Regions from separate parts of the Mus musculus genome. Here all the other regions are reported to be linked to region 2. The links are microRNA targets in miRTarBase. Many come from high-throughput screens and were not tested one by one. Region 2 holds a microRNA gene; each other region holds the end of a gene's coding sequence.
What was found. Region 2 holds the annotated microRNA mmu-miR-3105-5p (AGAGCAAGCCCGUAAGCAGCGU, at 1,337-1,358, opposite strand). A microRNA usually pairs through its seed, bases 2 to 8, with sites in the 3' UTR of a target mRNA and lowers its output. Matches are read on the target gene's strand: a 7mer-m8 pairs with bases 2 to 8, a 7mer-A1 pairs with bases 2 to 7 and ends in A, and an 8mer does both.

Region 1 (6,417 bases), not on the chromosome of region 2:
CTCCCAGTGGCTCACAACCATCTAAATGGTTCCAGAGGATCTGACCCTCTGAGGGCACCAAGTATGCACATGGTGTGTGTGTGTGTGTGTATTCAAAACACCAATATACATAAAAATGAAAATAAAAATAAAATTTACCCTTGGGTGAGTATATCTTCCGGAGAGCACACCTACCTTGTCTGAGTAACATCTTACTACCTTTATCACTGTTGTCTTTCAATCTAGTTACTAGCAATCTGGGAAAATTGGACAAAATATAGTTTTAATCAGAGTTTGGTCAGAAAGCCTCTCAGCCAGCCATACCTCCAAACTCTGTGATCCACATAAGCCCTGGACCTGGGCTCAGCTGCAGCCTATCTCTGCAGTTTGTACATGTTTGCTAGTGTTCTTTCTGTTCAAGCAAGCATGCTTGTACAGTCCTGAGGTGGTCTTTTATTTTTCCTGATACATTATAACTAGCTTCACGTCTGAGAACTAGAAAAGGCCTGACACCTGGCTGCTTCAGTTCCTCAAGTGCACGAGGAAGGAGCCTCCTCCCTGTGTAAACAGGGCATTTGAGAGCACAGCAGCCACCCAGCTTGGCCACAACATGTTCGAGCGAGTGGTGGGTGCTTCCTCTGCTGTCTCCTCCAAATGTGTTCAGTCACTCACTCCATATCTAATCAGAGAGGCACCAGGCTGAGGCCGACATCTGGAGCCAGCCTTTCCCATGCCTGATTAGGAGAGGGAAACCAGTCCCCAGAGTCAGCACGAATCCTGTATGCAAGGTGCTTGCTTTGTTTGGCATAACTGCATTAACTGTGATCAGCTTGCTGACGATTCTAGCTGCTGAGCTGAGCATGCAGCAGACATCACTGGCCAGTTATGCATCACGCTGCTGTCCCTGGTCCTTGTGTAAAACACTGCTTCCTAAGTGAGGGTCAAAGAGAACTAAGTCTAAGCAGAGTGCTTGGAGATTGTGTGAAGAGAACTATCCATGTGTTTCAGGAGCTGAACAGGTTACGAAAAGCTGCCTTAGCCTTTGGTTTCCTGGACCTGCTTAAAGGGGTGGCCGACATGCTGGAGAGGGAGTGTACCCTGCTGCCGGACACAGCCCACCCAGACGCCGCATTCCAGCTCACCCACGCTGCCCAGCAGCTCAAGCTGGCCAGCACTGAGTATGCCATATATGACCACAACATCACACCCCTGCACACAGACTTCTCAGGGAGCAGCACTGAAAGAATGTGATGCTGAGCTCTGGAGCGTTCCTTCACGTTCACTTTGTCTGAAGGCAATTTAGAGTTAAAACCTTCTCCAGCTCTATCAGAAACAGCATTTGCCCGTCTGAATGTTTCTACTGCAGTCTGAGAAAGGTCTGAAGGCTGGTTGTCTGGGGCTCAGTCTCTAGGTCCAGAAACAGCCTTTGTTCCATGATAGGCACAGCTCCTGAGAAGCTTGGACAGATGAGGAGCGAGCGCAGGAAGAAGCCTAGGCAGCCAGGGCCGTCTAGCATCCAGAAAGCGACTCTTCATGTCTCAATTACAAGGACATTCTTAAACTTCTGTGCTTGGAAGAAGCAATCCAGATGTCTAGAACTTGCCTAAGTACAAACCCGATGCCATTGAGTTTCAATTTTTTTCTTAGAACTTGTTAAAATACAAGTGGCAATGCTCAGGTGCTTCTGGTGTATCCCAAGGTACACATTTTTAGACTGTAACCACAATATGTGTAAAATCACTCCTGTTCATGTTTTTAAATGAAAATTAAATATTTGATTTTCTATAGTGATTGCACTTAGAAACAAATGGTGTTTTGATCTATCTTATCCCTTGAATATAATACAGCTTCCAAAATGTCAGACTCCTAAGAAGCAATGTCTCTCGGGTCCTGTGTAACTTCCTAGTTTCTGACAGTGATCAAGCTTTGTACCTCAGCAAGGTTCTGGCCAGTGGTTCTGAGAGCACTGATGGGAGAGTCAGGCCTCCCAGGCTGTGCCTGCACAGTGCTCACCCAGTGCTTCGTGACTGCCTTCAGTACTCCCTTAGGCTCCTGCCAGAGTCACTGTGCCTGAACAAAGCACTTTACCCATTTAAAACTCATGAGATTAAATGATGTTTAAGCACAAGTTATTAGGATTTTGACTGTAAATGTTTTAATAGAAATACACAATCTTTCACTTTCTCAGACAGCAACAAAGGGGATGCTAACAGCAACTAGAACATGGGAGTTTGCACAGGGATACGGCATAATTGACTGCAAAGCTCAACTGCCAGGTTTGTCCACAATCAGTGAGGGAACACCAGAAGGTAACACAACAATCGCTGACGGAAGCTGCAGACTTGGGAAATACTCTTGGGTGAGATGAGGTGTGTCAAAGCAGCCAGTTTAATGCCAATCCACTCTGGGCTCACTGCAACAGCAGAAGTCTCCTTCCTTTCCCCCCAAGAACAAGGGGAGTGGAAGATGGAAGCGACCACTCTCAGGCTCTTTTTTCTGGTGTTACTTCACCATAGGTTTACATGGAATGTGGTAGAGAGACTGAAGCTGTCTTGAACAGTAGCCAACCTCAAGGTCTGTATTCTGCATGCACACAGTTTGTTGTTGTTTTTAAACCGAAAACAAAACAAAACAGGCTGTGGTGGCTTTTGCCTTTAATCCCAGCACTCAGGAGGCAGAGGCAGATGAATCTCTTTCTGTGTTCAAGGCCAGCCTGGTCTACAGAGCAAGTTCTAGGAGAGCCAAAGCTACACAGAACAACCCTATCTTAAAAAACAAAAAAAGAGAAAAAAAAATCTAACAAGGAAAAAAACAGTTCAATAAAGTAATCTCACCAACCACTCAGAAATACACAAGTAAATGGACTGAGCTAACCCCAAGAATTATAGATTGATTGTGTGACTGTGTGCAGCCCAAGTAGGTGTTTGTGTTTGCCACAGGCATCATTACCACAACTGATCCTGCCTGTCTCCTGCATCTCTGTTCCCTTCTGACCCCTGCAGCCATTCACATTTGGACTTCTAATCTCTGTTGCGCAGTACTTCTCCCTTTCTCCAGTGTTGAAGGCAGTTCTGATTTAGCTAGAAATGAAGTAGTCATGGTGTTCCCAGGTTCTGATTTCGTTCTCTAAATCACTCTGCCTCTTCAATGCCTGGGAAGTGCTATAGTAATGAATGTCTTTAGCTAAAAGGCATCAAATATGAAGTGTTCTCCAGCCCTACTCTGACTCAAAAAATGTCAATAACCATGTTTATCTGATTTTCAAAAAGTCGGTGCTATGTAGTCTTGTTTTTTTTCGGTTTTCACAAGTGGCAGCAGAAAGACCAAGCCCTGTGAAGACAGACAGTGCCTGTAGGGAGGAGCAGACATGAAGAGGGCCACCTTTGTTATTAAATACACAAGAATGAACTTGTCCTCAGATACCAGATATCCATGTCATGCAAGTACAACACTAAGATAAGGACAGTAGACTCAGGAATGTTACTGGGAAAGAGAGACAGCCTTACTTTAAAAAACAAAACAAAACAAACCCTTATATCAGTACAAGAAGTAGAAGAGTAGGAATCATAGACTCTGCTCAAATGAAGCTACCAAATTCATCTTTAGTGGAGCTTTTTCTTCTTTTGTCCATACCGCCTCCTGCGCTGTTTATAAAGGTGACGAAAATTAATATATAACCCTAGGGGAAAAAAAACCAACTGATTAGAAATGTCCTTGTGACAGGGAAGTGAGTTATCTGCTGTTTGTGCCCAGGCCTCACGGCACTAAATCTATTGCTCAGATACAGCGGAACCCACAGCAGTGCTGCGAGAGGTGTCCAGCCCTGCAGGGGCTTGTGGCCTCACTGCTCATGGCCTCTTGTGCAGGGTTAGACAGAGATAAACCTTGTCTACTGAACAGCTTCTGGATCCAACTTTCCATCAGACTGTGTGTATCTCATGCCTATGATCTGTTCATCTGACTCTCATGTTTTGACACATTTCAATATTAATATAGTCATCAATACAGTTCACCCTACATAGATGATTAAGTTAACGATGGTTTTTGCCTGTTTTCCCCCCATACATATGTAATGAGTGGCTAAATCAGAGCTGAAGGGCTATTCAAGAACTGACTTTTTTTTTTTAAAGAACTTACTTTTTTAAAAGTAAGCTACAGTCTGAAAGTACAAAGCAGTATGTGAGGAAACAGGATTTCAGATGCCAGTTTCAATTCTACTTAACCAGAAAGTTCTGTAGCTTAGCCTCACCTCAGTTCCTTCAGTTGTACAACAGGGATAAAAACACATCACATACTTACTATGAAAGAATGTGCATAAAAAAATTCCTTGACCTATGAACATATACTACCTGGTTAAGACCCAAAATTTACAATTTTGGATTGGTTTAATTTTGAATAATAACATGTACATATCTTTCTATTAAGCAACACTAAAAAAAAGATAGGTCATAGGGTCACTGCATATTAAAATATTTCCACTCTTTACTGGGTACAGGACCTTACTCTATTGCCTGGGCTAGCCTTGAACTTAAGGCAGTCCTCCTGCTTCAGTCTCCCTGCTGCTGTGATTACAAATGTGAGCCACCACACAGAATTCTAACTTTTTTTCATAGGGCCTCCTAAGTAGTATAACCTCCCACACTAAATCATGGAGACCACTCGGCTTTTTAACCTCTCAGGCCATTTGTACTGTTCATCTTCTGTTCAGGGTGGCAACCTCTTAGATGCTCACTACTGATTCCTTCCCTCCCTTCTCTTGCACTGAGCCTTGCCAGTCTGAAGACAACTCTTGTTATCTATCAGTGGCTACGTCTTGATGAATACAGTACACACCAAGAGAGCTAGCACACTGGCAGTGGCTGAACCCACTGTTGCCTACAACGCAGCTATGTTTATTTAAATCTACCAAGTCAAATACATAACCTAAACACCGATGCTTACAGGAAATCCTTGAGTTACGGTGGCTTTCGAGTAATTTTAAGTTTATCTCTTGTTCCGGTTAGTTCTGAGCTTTTCTGAGTTAATCTAGAATTCATGTTGGATACAAACCTACTAAGGCGGCCATAATCAGCGGGGCGCTTCCCAACAGAGACCATCGCCACCTCCCTCCCCCCTCATTTGCCACGCCTCTACCTCCTCCTCAGCCCCAAGTAGGTTAGAATGCAGGCAGCAGGGTTCTCATCTCCTGCTCTTGTTAGAAGAGCTCTTAGTGGGTCATCGGGAGATACTGTATGGTATGCCTCAATATCCACATATATGACAGACTCGCACTGACAGAGCACTCACAATTCAGCTACTGCAGACCTGAGAGAAAGATTTCCACATGCAGCAAACTCTCCTACTGGGTCTGTTTGCACAAATAAAGCCTTTCCCTGGCCACTCTTTCAGAAGTAGAATTATATTAAGGGATGCTAAAACTGAACCACTTAGCTCTCCTGTCTAAAATATGACAAGAGACGTACTTACCTAAAAATAACATTACGAGATAAACTTGAAGGAAGAAGGAAAATCTGACTTTCATCTTCACTGGATATGGCAAAGTAAAACTGAACCTTCCCGACTCGTTGAATACTGGAATGGACTGGATCACTGCCACAGCTGAAAGCAAGCAAGCAGTGAGAAGCAAATGGAACACATGAGCTTCCAGCACCTCGGGCTCACAGCTCCAGCCTGAGGCTGCAGGAGATGTCTCCTACCCGCCTGTACAGAAAGCTCCCGGGTTCTCACATTGCCTCTAAGCTTCCAGGAGACTGATGAGAACAGCCCAGCACTGGGCTTCTGTTTCCTCATCTATAAAATGGGAGGAAATTTTGTGTCTGATCTATTCACTAGGGGCTGTCATAATAAAATGAAATTACTAATAAGATCTCTCTTTGGAATATTAAGAATAGCTTGTAAATAAAAAGCATGCAGCACAGGAGCACCCAGCTTCCAAACCTTACGCAATGAGACCCATGTCTCTGGAACAGTCAGACAAAGAGTATGGAAAAAGGCCATCAGGAAGAAAGGCCTGAGGTCTTAATACCACATTGATTAGATTACGGCTGGCAGAGAGGAAACCAGCCTCTTACCACATGGGCACCCCTGAGAGCTATACTATGAACCTAAAGTTTTTAAAAATACCTTCTGACAAACATCCCAGGGGATATAACGGAATCCACATAGTGTAACGGAGCCACGTGAGCACCTTCCAGTCCATGTCAATGCAGGAGAGCATGTAGAAGGGATACCTATGGAAAACAGAAATCAAAGACAACAGCCACTGCAGGCTCTGAATTCCACCCTAGATGGGCATTCTCACACACCAGGCTGTGAAGTCTATGGGCAGGCTCAGTGTATTCTTCAAGGAACCCTCTTTGTTCAGCTCCGTGCTGGATGCTTAGAACATAGCTTTATTCCTAGCTCTCATCTATGTTCCTAGTAGGGAGAGATGCCTAG
Region 2 (6,379 bases):
CAAATGTAAGGACCATGATCAGATCCTCAGAACCTATACAAATATCAGGTAGATATGGCAGCCCCCCCCCTGTAATTACAGCCTCCAGAGGGCAGAGCCTGGGCATCCCCAGAGCAAGATGACTAGCAGGACTAGCCAATTGATGAGTTCTGGGTTTGATTGAGAGACCCTCAAAGACTAAGCTGGTAAAGGTGATCAAAGAAGATTACATCAACCCTAGGGGCCTCCACATGCATGCACACCTACAGATGTGTGCCTATACACATGCAAAACATGCATACATGCATGTACATGGAAAGGGGAGGAGGGAAGAAAGCTTAAAATTATTCTAGAATATTTCAGAGAACTTAAATTTTTTCTTTATCTTCTGTGCAATGAGGTAGACGAGAGAAACTCAAATCCCCAAGAAAGAATGTTTTGATAGACTCTAAGGGGCTTTGGGTCTGTAGGTGAGAAGGCACTGCTTGCCTGGATTTATAAATGAAGCACACTGGTAATGGAGGCCACCAGCTGAAGAGCAGCGGTCTGGAGGTCCCTCTATCCACCTCCCCACCCCCAACTCTGTCCCACTTGAGCAAAACACCTGATCTCGCAAGGAGGGGCAGAGAAAGGTGAGGGAATGCTCTGAGATTCTATAATCCTCAACCTCCATGCCTGGAGCAGCCTCAGCCTGCCACCCATCCTGGCCAGTGCCTCCATTTTGGCACAGGGACCCAGCCTGCAAAGCTCCCAAGTCCATCTTGCTCTTTCTCCATGGGAGCAGCCCAAGCTACTGAAGCAGAAGCTCAGGACACACTAGCCTCAGCCCGCAGAGCGCTCAGTGTGCGGCTCAGCAGCTGCTGGCTAAGAGAAGGGAAGAACTCAGCCACCTACTCCATTCGGCGCCTAAAGCAGAGGAAGGCAGGCCCGACACCTGACTGAGAGTGCCCACACACGGGAGGCCACGTTCCAAAGCAATACAAGAGCCACTAATGACATGGAGAAGAGGCAATCCTTCAGAGGGCCAGCCTGCGCCAACTCATTCCACCTCCTGCCAAGCCTTCAGGAACAGGGAAGGGCTCAAGTTTGAATAGTCCCTTTGGGGGGGCTGTGAATTCTGTGGGTGGCCTCAGTGCAGTGAAGCTGGGACCCCCTGGCTAGCACCCCTTCTGTTCTGGTTTGCTTTTTATCGCTGTGATAAACAAGGTGACCAAAAGCACTTGGGGAGGAAAGTTTCATCTTACAGCTTACAGCCCATCATGGAGAGAATAGGGAAGGCTAAGGCAGGAACCCAGAGGCAGGAGTGGAAGCAGAGGCTATGGAGTGCAAGCTCATAAGCAGTGTTCCTCAGTAACTTACGCTGCTTACGGGCTTGCTCTCCAGAGCCTGCTCAGCTTTCTTACACAACTGAAGGCCACCTGCGCAGTGCTGGCACAGCCTACAGTGGGCTGGGCCCTCCCATGGCAATCATTAATCAAGAAAAAGCCCCATAGGCTCTTCTACAAGCCAATCTGGTAGAGGCAATTCCTCAACTAAGGTTCTTCCTCCCAGGCAACGCTAGCTTATGTCAAGTCACTAACCAGGAAACTGACTCCTTGCCAAATTGACACACAAATACATAATTACTAAATAATAACATCCTCTCTGTTTATCTCCAAGATCTTATGTTAATATCACAATGAAAAACTAAGTGTGACTTAAATTCCTGTAGTCTTTAACAATTTCAGCACTTGGGGCTGGAGAGTTAGCTCAGGGATGAAGACCAACAGCTGCTCTTTCAGAGGGCCTGGGTTCTATTCCCAGCCCCGACATGGCAACTCACACCTGTCTGTAACTCCACTTCCAGGGCACCTGGCACCCTATGCCAGCCTCCACAAGTACTGCATGCACATGGTTCACAGACATACAACCAGGCAAACATCATACCTATACAATTTTTTAAAAATTTCAACACTTTAAAAAAAGACCAGTCTCTTTAAAATACCCAATGTCTCTTTAGTCCAAAGTCTCTCAACTGTGAGCTCCTGTAAGAAAAAAATCCAAGTCAATCTAAGAACTTTCTCATTCCAAGAGAGAAGAACCGGGAAACCGTCTCTGTCTGAACAAAGTAAAACCAAGCACAGCAGTACGCGTTACATCCTGTAACTCAGAGTCTTGCATCTGGCCCTCGCTCACCATCTTCTGGGCTCCTACAGGCCTGGGCAGCTCCACCTCTCCAGCTCTGTCCTGCACAGCACACATAACACATAGGCTCAGGCAGACTCCACACCACAGCTGCTGCTGTCCTTGGTGATCCTCCCATTGTCCTCGTATTCCAGTGTCCTTGATCTCCATGGTCCTGGCGTCACCACACTCTGTCCCTTCACCAGTGACCTTCTGGCCTCTCTTCAGGGACTCTGACCTGCTACACCGTGCCAAGCTTCAGCCCCTCTCCATGACCCCTTGAGCCCTAGAGTCTCTGTGACACCTTGCAACAGAACCCTGGTTTCAGGAGTATCCCCACCCTACAACCTGGAGCAAGGCTGGCCATCACTGTGGGGGGAAAAACTCCTATTTTTCCAGCTGGAAACTGGTTACTTGGTCTGAGAAGTGTCCTTGGTATCCAGGAAGGGTTGCTGCACCTTAAGAGAGTGGCAGGAATGTCCCTCCCCTCCTCAGTGTGCAATCAGGAGTAAGCCACTCTATTTGGCCAGTCTGCCAGCCAAGAGAGGCTTGTCACTTTGTGGGCAGTTTCCCTCCTTCCTCCAAACCCATGAGCAGTAAAAGCATTTGTCTATCTGCCATCCTCCCCCTCATCACCACATCACTGGCAATCATCAAGGAGTAGGAATCAATCTACAAGGAACCAGGCCGATGGAATATTCTCCAGCTGTGAAAAAGAGCAAGGCACTGGTACAGGCTACAGTATGGATGAGCCTTGAGGACCCTATGCCAAGTGAAATCACACAGCACAGAAGGCCATATCCTGTCTAACCATTTCTATACAGTGTCCAGAAGTGTAGTTACTCAGAGCCAAGGGAAGGTAAGGCATGATTGCTGTTGACCTAGGGGTTTCTTCTTGGGGAGGTAAGAACATTCTAGAAGAGACAGTGGTATGGTTGTACAGCATAGTCAGGAGCCACTGACTTGGACACTTTACAGTGGTAAGCATAGGAGACAGCACTCTCCAGTGGAAGAGCACCAATAGGATGGGGGCATTTTAAAAGGGGATGTGTCATGCTGGCCTGCACAATGCTGTCTGGGTAGTTCAACTCTAGCTAGCTCATCCAGAGTGATGGAGAGTTTGGCAGCTGCTCAGTCCTGAAGGGCTGCTGGGACTCTGTCTACAGCAGAAGGCTGATAAAATTGGTCCAGGTATTGGTGATATGCTCAGTGGTCGGCCTCTGAACTTGCCACTGAGAGCAATGGTAAGCAAGCAACGTTTCCTTCATTCCATTCTTTTATCTGGGCTGCTGCTGACATCAAGTGTAGGTCTGTCTTCCTACTTCAAATAATCTGAGAAAAAAAAAATCCTTCACGGGAGCACCCAGAGGACTGTTCCAGTTGATTCCAGATCCAGTCGGCCACCAGAGTAAGTTTTACGTGAATCTTACATCAATTTGTAAATTGCCAAGAAAAATAACCCTAAAAGATAAAACTGGGCCCCTACCCATTAAAGCAAAGTCCTCTTTTCCTAGCCAGAGGCTATCCGCTTAGACTTCTGCTGACTTCTGGAATCCCTGTTGTTGATTCTGCTCACAGCAGTGTGGATGCCTACAGCTTTGGCCATGGCTCTGCTCATCCTAGACAGGGTGGCTGCCCATCATGTACAGTTCAGGTGATCAGAATCCTACCTGATGAGGCATGGTATCCATGTGGCCGTCTTGCCTTCTACAGTGACCTATGATGTTCCAGCGGCATCTTCTGGTCCAATGTATGGTGCCTGCTCACATCTCTCCTGTACCCCATCTCCTGGAGGCATAGTTGCTGGACAGCATACACTGTTTGCCAAAGGTCTGAAAGCCAAGCCACCTTTGCTGTTAGATCCTGTCCATCTCTGGTGTGCCTCTCCTAGGGCAGGACTTCTAAGGAAGTGGCTGTGAGCCCCACTTTACCTCCACAGGCTCTCAAAGCCAAGGGCTCAATTCATATTGCAGCCTGCACATCCCCGGCACCGGCTCTCTTCTGCCTGCCTTCAATCACTGTTGCCACCTTCGCGCGCACTTGAGCCTGATCCTCACTGTGACATTTCAGGTTTAACAAGACACACTTTCTCAAAGCTGCAGTTTACAAAGCCCACGGTGCTGATGTTGACTCTCTAGCTGCATTTTACTCTCTCAGGTGAAAACATGAAGCCGCTATTGTGCAGGTCCAGAGAGTTCTAGACTCACGGACCACACATGGAGTGACAGCCAAAACTGGCCCACAGTTCCTGGGGTAGGTGATGTCCTGGTGGTCTCTTATCCACCTTCCTGCCTCACCTTTGATTCCTGCAACGTTCCCTGAGAGTCCCTCATATTGAAGATCTGATGTGCATCATGTCATAGACCAGGCCAACTTTTCTGGGCCTGATGTCTGTGTGTGTGTGTGTGTGTGTGTGTGTGTTACATGCACACGAGTACTCCAGTGTATGCTCAAGCAGAATTCACAGCAGGATATCAAGTATCTTCCTGTATCTCCAATGTATTACCTCAAGCCAGGTCCTTTTATCAACCTCTACCTCATCCACTATGGTCACAAAAGCTAATCCTCCCCACAGCCTCAGGATCCCAAAGATCACAGTGCTGCCTGCCATCCTTGCTGTCCACCTAGGAAACTGCCACCAGGTGTTCCCACAGTAACCAGTGTGCTGTCAAGGGAACCTGAGCCCTCAGAAATGGATGCTCACACCTGTCTTCTTGCTGAGTGAAAGCCAGAGGCTTGAAAAGGAGCCCATCACATCCTGTGGCGGTCTCCTACAACCATTCCACAAAGTACAAAAGCCTGGTCTCAAGCAGCAGAGATTTTGCTCTTGGAAGCCAATGTCAACAACTCAGAACCCCCAGCTGGATCTATGTAAGCAATACTGCACTCTCCCAGAGCCTCAAAGCCCAGAAGAGCATCCCCCTGCTTCTCTCAGTTCCTGTGGCTTTAGACATCCCTGGGCCATGGCTGTATCTTCTTTCTTCTTCTCCTTCTCCTTCTCCTTCTCCTTCTCCTTCTCCTTCTCCTTCTCCTCCTCCTCCTCCTCCTCCTCCTCCTCCTCCTCCTCCTCTTATTCTTCTTCATTGTTGTCATCATCATCATCATTGTGTGTATATAAGATGTATGTATGTCACACATATCAAGATCAGAGAACTGTTTGATGGAGTCTGTCCTCTTGTGGGACCATGAAAGGTAGCTTGGTTCCCAGTTGAGCTAAGGCTTGAAACCCCAGAGACCTTGAAGGGATGGTAGATGCTTAGCCTGTTCCCAGGCACCAGGTCCCTGTCAGTAGCCACAGCCCTCCATAGATTTGTGGCCAACAGTTATGTAAGGGCAATGCCCCAAGCCCCTCCACATGTAGAGGACATGACCTGTGGTCACATAGGCTCAAGACAGATCTCCATTTTAATGAGGTACCTAAAGGCCTGGAGGGCTTAGCCAGTAAGTTTTTCTTCTCAGAGACTCCTCCCTGCAAAAGGTCTCAGGCCCACCCTGAGAAACGGGGTATGGTTTTATTCATTCACTTTCCACCATGACAATAAATGCCTTAAAACCACGGACTGTCTCTTTTCGCTGGGATCTGCAGTAGGGAACCATGGAGCCCCTGTCTAATCTTCCATAGAAGACAGTCTGTGCTCCCATTCATGGTTGCCACCAAGTCAAGCTCAAGACTGCTGCCCATCAACCCAAGAACTCTCCCCAAGGGACCAGCTGGAGCTCTCCCCTTTTCTCCCTCAACCCCAGGCCAGATCCAGCCCGTGGGCCCCCCACTCTGTTCTCAGCTCTTCCACAGCTTTCAGTGGTGCCTGGGTGTCCAAGAGCCTAAGAACCAGATGACCCTAAGAGCCTAAGAACCAGATGACCCTGAGAACCTAAAAACCAGATGGCCCCGGCCACGTTGTAGGCCCAGGGACCCCTGAGCCAGCTCTGGCTGTCCTGCTCCTCAGTCTGTGCTTCCCCACCCCTGGAGCGGTGTCCCCGGGCTTCCCTACTACCCAACCCTCGCCCAACGACATCCTCTACATCCTACATCCTCTCCTTCTACATTTCTGTGGGTTCTGAGGATCAAACCCAGGCAGGTCCCCAGGCTCTCACAATAAGCACTTTACCCACCTGCCCCCATGGCTGCATCTCTCCAGGTTCTGCCTTGGCTTCTTGAGGCATCATCTTCTCTCTCTCCAAGCTTCTCTCAGCCCCTATACAAGGGCTTTAATGACATTAGACTAGCAAGATTATC
Region 3 (6,763 bases), not on the chromosome of region 2:
AACCTGCCCTGTTCACATTTAAAGTCAGTGTTTACTATTAATGGGTTCTGCACAGAAGAGTTGAACCAAGTGTTTTGATTCCCTGGGTTCCTTTTCTGTAGCTATCAAAAAGGCCCAGCCCATAGATGCCAAGTGTCATGAATGAACAGATGACAAGGGTACAGGGAACCATGAACTGCTAAGGAAAGTCATTTTCAAACTCGATTCTACCCTTCATTCTGATGATCTCAGCCCCATTGTCCGGTAGCAGCTTCCTTTAATGGAAATTGTTTCTCAGGTATACCAAAGTGGCTGACCAGCCAGCATGTAGAGTTTGGAAAACACTCAAGTGTCATCAACTTAGAAGATAGCTGAAAGGAAGAGCCCCCCCCTCCCCCACAATACCGCACCGAGCTAATAGATGGTTCACTGTAGTTGGGGCTACACATTTTAGTTCTTTCAAATTTGTTTTCCTAAGTGTGGCAAGGATTTTACAGTTAAGCCAACTGTTCTTCCTCTCCATTTTTGCGTTGCTGTTTGACACATTAGTGGTTACCATGTAGGTTTGTCGATCTTGTCAGTTCTGGTTTGGACAGAACTGGCTGCTGAGTGCTGTTTTGGCTATCTAGGTTAATCCATGTTCTAGGACCATGGCTATTCTGGAAATGGCCTATGTGCTTAGAAGAAATTGATTACAGGATCCTGGAGCATTACTCTCCAGGAGAGAGTAATTAGAGTAAGCCTATGCTCTGGAGAAAGAGAATACATCCTGTCACTTTCCATTAGAAAATTGAGGTACCTGCCTCAAGTCATTACTTTTTAAAATTTCAAAGCCTAGCTAGGCATGGTGGCACATGCCTATGATATCAGTACTTAGGAGGGGAGGCGAGCCAAAATTCAAGGCTAACCTTGGTTACATTAAATTTGAATCTAACCTTGCCTACATAAGAACACATATCAAAACAGAACTTAGCCAGGAGGTGGTTGGTGGTGCACACCTTTAGTCCCAGCACTTGGGAAGCAGAGGCAGGCATATCTCTTGAGTTTGAGGCCAGCCTGGTCTATATAGTTCCAGGACAGTCAGAGCTGTCACACAGAGAAGTCTTAGTCTTGAAAAACCAGCAAAATAAAACCAAAAACAGAATATAAAAATCTAACATTTCAACTCTGAGTAAAATCCCATCTTTGGTTTGCACTGTAGTAGGAAAATATTAGCTTTATTTGGGTTAAGCTAATAAATACATAGTACACAATAAAATTTAATAAACATCAGTAAGGGAATTTAGGGTTCAGTGTAGCTTATTCCAGATATCACTGTGTAGATGAAACACTTGTGTCCAGGAACAGCACAGATAACCACAACATACACCTTTCCATGACATCTGAGAAAAGAGGAAGGTATAGGATTTCCGGCAACCTACAGATTGGAAAAAAATTCATCCCTAACCCCACATCTGATAGAGCGCTAATATCCAAAATATATAAAGAACTCAAGAAGCTAACCTCCAAAAAAAAACCAAACAACCCAATAGAAAAAAATGGGGTATACAACTAAACAGAGAATTCATAACAGAGGAATCTCAAATGACTGAGAAGCACTTGAATGTTCAGAGTCCTTACTGATCAGGGAAATACAAATCAAAATGACCCTGAGATACCACCTTATACCGACCAGATTAGCTAAGGTCAAAAACTAAGGTGACATCACATGTTGGCAAGAATGTAGAGAAAGAGGAGCACTCCTCCATTGCTGGTGGGATTGCAAAATGGTACAACCACTCTGGAAGTCAATCTGGAGGTTCCTCAGAAAATTGGAAATAGATCTACCTGAAGACCCAGCTATACTACTCTTGGGCATGTACTCGACCATGGTGGCCTTATTTGTGATAGCCAGAAGCTGGGAACAACCTAGATGTCCCACAACGGAAGAATGAATACAGATAATGTGGTTCATTTACACAATGGAATGCTATTCAGCTATCAAGGACGAAGACATCATGAGTTTTGCAGGCAAATGGATGGAACTAGAAAATATCACCAAGAGTGAGGCATCTCAGACCCAAAAGGACATGCATAACAGGAGTCTATATATAGCACAGCTGCCCTCTGAGATGCTCTACCAGCAGCTGACTGAGACAGAAGCAGATACTTACACCTGACCAATGGTCTGAAGAGCCCATGGGAGGGCCAGTAGTCTCAACAAACCTGGAACCCCTCCCCAGTGAGATCTGACATTGAGCCACTAACCAGGCAGCATACACTAGCTGGTCCAAGTCCCCTGACACATATACAGGAGAGGACTGCCTGGTCTGGTCTCAATGAGAGAAGATGCACCTAATACTTGAGGCCCCAGGGAATGGGAAGGCCTGGTGGAGTATAGGGGTGTGTGGGGACATCCTTTCAGAGGGGTGGGGGGAGGAATGGGATGAGGAATTGTGGGAGGGCAGAAAGGGAGGGAGATAATGACTGGACTATAAAAAAAATAACAAAATAAAAAGGTAAAAAGAAAAATAACTGAATTTCGTATTAGGTTAAATTTTATGAAATTAGTAATGTGTGTTTGGGGTGGGGTCCCATGTAGTCCAGAATGGCTTTGTTGTGTAGCCAAGGTATATATTGAACTAATCCTGTTTTCATTTCCCAAATCCTAAAAACCTTCCCTTCTCTCTCTCCCCATCCATGGTTTCTTTGTAGTCCTACCTGACCTCAAACTTCAATTTGCCAATCTTTGCTTCCCAATTGCTGGGGCTAAAGGCATGCACTACTATGTCAGGGCAAACCTTTGTCAGCGGAGTCTTACACAGCTTGGGGCCGTGGAAGATCTCAAGCTTAAGCACTGTGCCGTGACTGACCAAAGGTACTATCATCCCTAGTGTCTCTTCCGTAGGAGAGAGGGAAGGACACTGGGGTTTTGTTGACCAGCTGTTACTTCAAGGTTTTTCTAGTGTTTGTGAGACAGCTTCCTAGTCCCTTTGTCTTATTTACTTCAGAATTAGTATCCCAGGTTCTCCTGAGCATGTGCCAGGATGGTTTTTCTAGGACTCCTAAGAAGGAATTCAGGATTGGCTCTTGGGCCCTTGCAGGTAAGATACCCACAACTGCCCTATATTGTTCCTGCTTTTCAATGGTCTTAGCCATGGGCTCCCTCGTAATCAAAGCACTGTGCAGTACAGGGCCATAAATCACAGAAACTAGTCTTCATTATTTGCTTCATTTGGCCTATACATTCTATTCCAGGGGAAAACATTTGCCACTGACCTTGTCAAGGCCTAATAAATGAAGCCCAGCCTGTATCAGAGAGGCAGGTGTAAGGACTAACCCAATGGGCCTTTCTTCAGCTACTGCTTATATGTAGGTCGCCACTTTATTACCTGGAAAGAGGTAGACTGTCTTCATTTTGACAACTCTGGAGAACATTATGCTATAAGTATGTGAGCTGAACCAGTCAGAAGAGCTGAGGCAGACACAGTCTGCGTTAGTTTTACAAGACACAGGGACTTCTGCACCTACTGGCTTAAAAAAAAAAAAAGCATGTTTGTCTAAATATCTCCATGTGTTGACAGTGAGACACATCCCTGAACACACTACACGTGACTGCTGAAACCAGGTCAGTAGAAACCATCGAAGTTTATTGGCGGTCACAATGCTTACACTGTATGCAGCAAACACCCTTACAAGTCTATCCGCAACCTGATCACGCAAGAAAAGATTCACCACACAGTCGCCAGAGGAGAAGGAAAATTAATAAGCTTGTTTGTGAGGATTGAGGAAAATAAAAATAAAACCTAATTGGTAATGTCCCATGGGTAAGAGCTGTACTAGAGATGTATATAACTAGCAGCAGTTGTGGGAAAGTACAAGGCAAAGAGTTTTCTCCATCCAATGTTCCTCTGTAGGTTCACTTTTCTTTTTTAATATTCAAAACATTTATTATGGTTTTTATTTTATAAAAATGTATATTTTTCAAGGGAGAATGTTAAATACTTCATGCTAGGTAGACCTTGTTATTGAGAGCCCTCCCCTGTAGTAACTTCCTCCAGTTCATACATTCATGAGTGCAGGGTACACACATAAATATCCACACACATCCACACACACTGCCTCAAAGGCTGGGGAAGACAAAAGTTATGGCCACACATATTAGGCCTCTGGTGGACTCATGCAAATTGCTCAACAAGAGAGCAAATGGCTCAATTCTCTGTCGTCTCCCTATAGAGACCAAGAATCCTAAAACATAAATCCGACTTTTAATAGCAAGAGGCATCTTTCTGAGGATGAGGGTTAAGTAAAATGGGAGAAAGGATGGAGATAAGAACACCAGAGACTTTAGCTGGAGTTATCTGTCACTGCAGGAGGCTGGGGGGCCCAGGGCAGCATCCATGGATGGGGAGGGTGGTGCTCCCGCATGGCTCAGAGTTCCTAATAACAAGGTTAATACAGCATCAGGAACGCATCAGTGGGGGTGGGGAGGGAAAGGGCAGTAAGAAAAAATATACATTTGGAGTTTTTTCCTTTTTTGCCTCTCTACACTGTGTCACTAAATATATCTCTGCACTTTCACACATCCTTGTCCAATAAAGCTTCAGGCCACCACAATGCACATTTTCTTCACTCGCCATACATCACCCCTCACGTCAGCATTGGTGCACTAGACTCTGTAAAAAGTTTTCAGTCACACTTTTGTTTTTAAACTTGAGTCAATATAAACCTTGTTGAAAACGTTATGAAAAAATGTACATGTTTATACAAGGCAGGCTGCGGCAGGGCGCCGGGCTCTCCCTGCACGGTGACCCCAGGAGCGGCCGGAGGCTCAGATGCCTGTGCGTCTGTCTCCTCCCACCACCCCTTCCCACCCCAGTCCCCCAGGAACCAGCAGTGCCCTGTCCCTCAGTGAGTGCACGCACACCCCGTACTTCCCCGTACTTTCTGGGGAAATAGCTGGTTGACTTTTGCCATTTCCCCCATACCCCTGGAGGAAGGAGCCGGGATCAGCCAGGCTCTCTCCCTTGCAACTGTTCACCCTCTGGACCAGACCAAAGGGACGCTGCTCTGCAAGGTAGAGTCCGAGAGTTGTCAGCTCATCATGTCATTGCTATTCACTCCATAAGTGGAATTCTTCATTGAGTCGTTGACCTCTCGACGGAATGCTGACAGGTTCTGGGTGAACCTGCAGAAAGGATGCATGTGGGTTGGGGGAGGAGGTAGAAAGGAAAGGTCTTTTCCTAAGCAGAGAAATGGCTACTGGGAAGCAGAATACAGCAAATCGTGCCTCATCGGCTAACCGTAGTCTCAGAACTATTAGGGAAAGGTGGTCTTATTTACACCTCTACTTTTTCCTGGAAACTTCATGGCAGACCAGAGATGGTCAAACTTGAATCTGGGAGGGCCATCTTGGGCTTGTGGCAGCAACACAGATATATTAACTGCTTGACAAGAGATGGGAATTAACCTTAGAAAGTAAAGGCAGAAATGACATGAGGTTGTTACAGTCCTCAGAGTTGAAAGACTAAGGACGTAGAGCCGTGTTGTTCAATATGGAAGCTGCTAACTATAAACGGCTAGGGAGCACTTGCCTATGGCCAGTGAGAGCTGAATCAAATAATATTTAAATTCAGTTCTCCATTCACACTCAAATCACTTTTATTTTAAAACACTTTCACTAAAATTATACAATTCAGATAAACCAGATAGTTAATTTTTGATGTCTGGTACAACCAGGGTACAGAATCCTGTATCAACTCTAAGTTTATGAAATATAATTCAGGTTAGGTGTTTCTGACAAACACTTAGCATCTCAGTTTAGGTCATTAGGTGTAACACAGAAATGCTTCTGAAGACTTACCTTACATTCTCAATAATATAGAGAGTTTACATTCTCAATTTTAAGACATCATACACCAAAATAACTGTGGATGTTTCGGGTTACCACTAAAACGTTCATGAAGAAATCTAAATTACACATGTAGCTTGCCTCTCTACTAGACAGCACTGCTTTATGCACCTCACATCTGGTCAATAGAGATGCATATGGAACTGTGCTTGCTTCAATGGTTTGAAAAATAATAGCACTTCTTGGCAAGACCCAGACACTTACCTGTCTCTGTTTTTCGTCAGAAGATTCCGTTCAATGCCTTCCATCAAATTTTCAAAACACAGATGCATGGCCTGCTGTTTCTCTGGTGGTTGGCTATTGACGATGCTGTTTCTTAGGTCAGAAAAATACTGTGGGCCAAGGAACAAGACAAAGTGAAAGAAGGCAGATGAATGTTCCCCGAAGAAGGCAGTATCTACCACAATTCAATTTATACTTTAAAAATCCAAGCACTTAAAAGATGTTTTCATATTATTTAAAAACAGAAACTTGTAATTTGTAAGGCGGCTTGTTAACGATTACTGTGCCTCCCGTCCCCTGCTGACCACGGCACAGTCACCACACTATTTGTTTTTAGGCAGGGTGTCTCAAATGGCTCAGGATGTCTTGGAACTCATGATTCTGAACTTGTGGATCCACCTTCCTTCCTGCACTTCCCAAGTGCTGGATCTGTAAGCACCTGCCCCTAGACCTGGCATCAGATGTCCTGTCAGGGGCATCTCAAGACTTGTCCTGGCATCAGATGTCCTGTCAGGGGCATCTCAAGACTTGTCCTGGCATCAAAAGTCCTGTCAGGGGCATCTCAAGGCTTGAGACAGAGATAGACCTAGAGCTTGGGTCTTAGGTGCTTTGGAGTCTAGGAACATTGCTCCCTTTTAAAGGATTTATCTCACTATCTTTTCCATTAACTGG

Region 1: miRTarBase lists Hacd3 as a target of mmu-miR-3105-5p. Seed matches in the 3' UTR shown: 7mer-m8 at 2,703-2,709.
Region 3: miRTarBase lists Xpo7 as a target of mmu-miR-3105-5p. The part of its 3' UTR that is shown has no 7-base or 8-base seed match.

The regions. Positions count from the first base shown.
Region 1 is chr9:64,984,872-64,991,288 of GRCm38, forward strand. Hacd3 (3-hydroxyacyl-CoA dehydratase 3) reads right to left here. Exons shown (of 11, transcript NM_021345.2): 9 at 6,103-6,209; 10 at 5,446-5,577; 11 at 2,112-3,658. The coding sequence ends at 3,582. Ints14 (integrator complex subunit 14) reads left to right here. Exons shown (of 13, transcript NM_001077631.2): 13 at 988-2,110. The coding sequence ends at 1,230. Among named protein-coding and RNA genes, the nearest start is that of Gm25640, 16 kb to the left of the region's middle.
Region 2 is chr7:144,004,246-144,010,624 of GRCm38, reverse strand. It overlaps Mir3105 (microRNA 3105), which reads right to left and starts at 1,371; the gene lies at 1,287-1,371. It also overlaps a transcript of Shank2 not described here.
Region 3 is chr14:70,660,949-70,667,711 of GRCm38, forward strand. Xpo7 (exportin 7) reads right to left here. Exons shown (of 28, transcript NM_001359888.1): 27 at 6,074-6,201; 28 at 1,178-5,146. The coding sequence ends at 5,053. It also overlaps a transcript of Npm2 not described here. Among named protein-coding and RNA genes, the nearest start is that of Npm2, 11 kb to the left of the region's middle.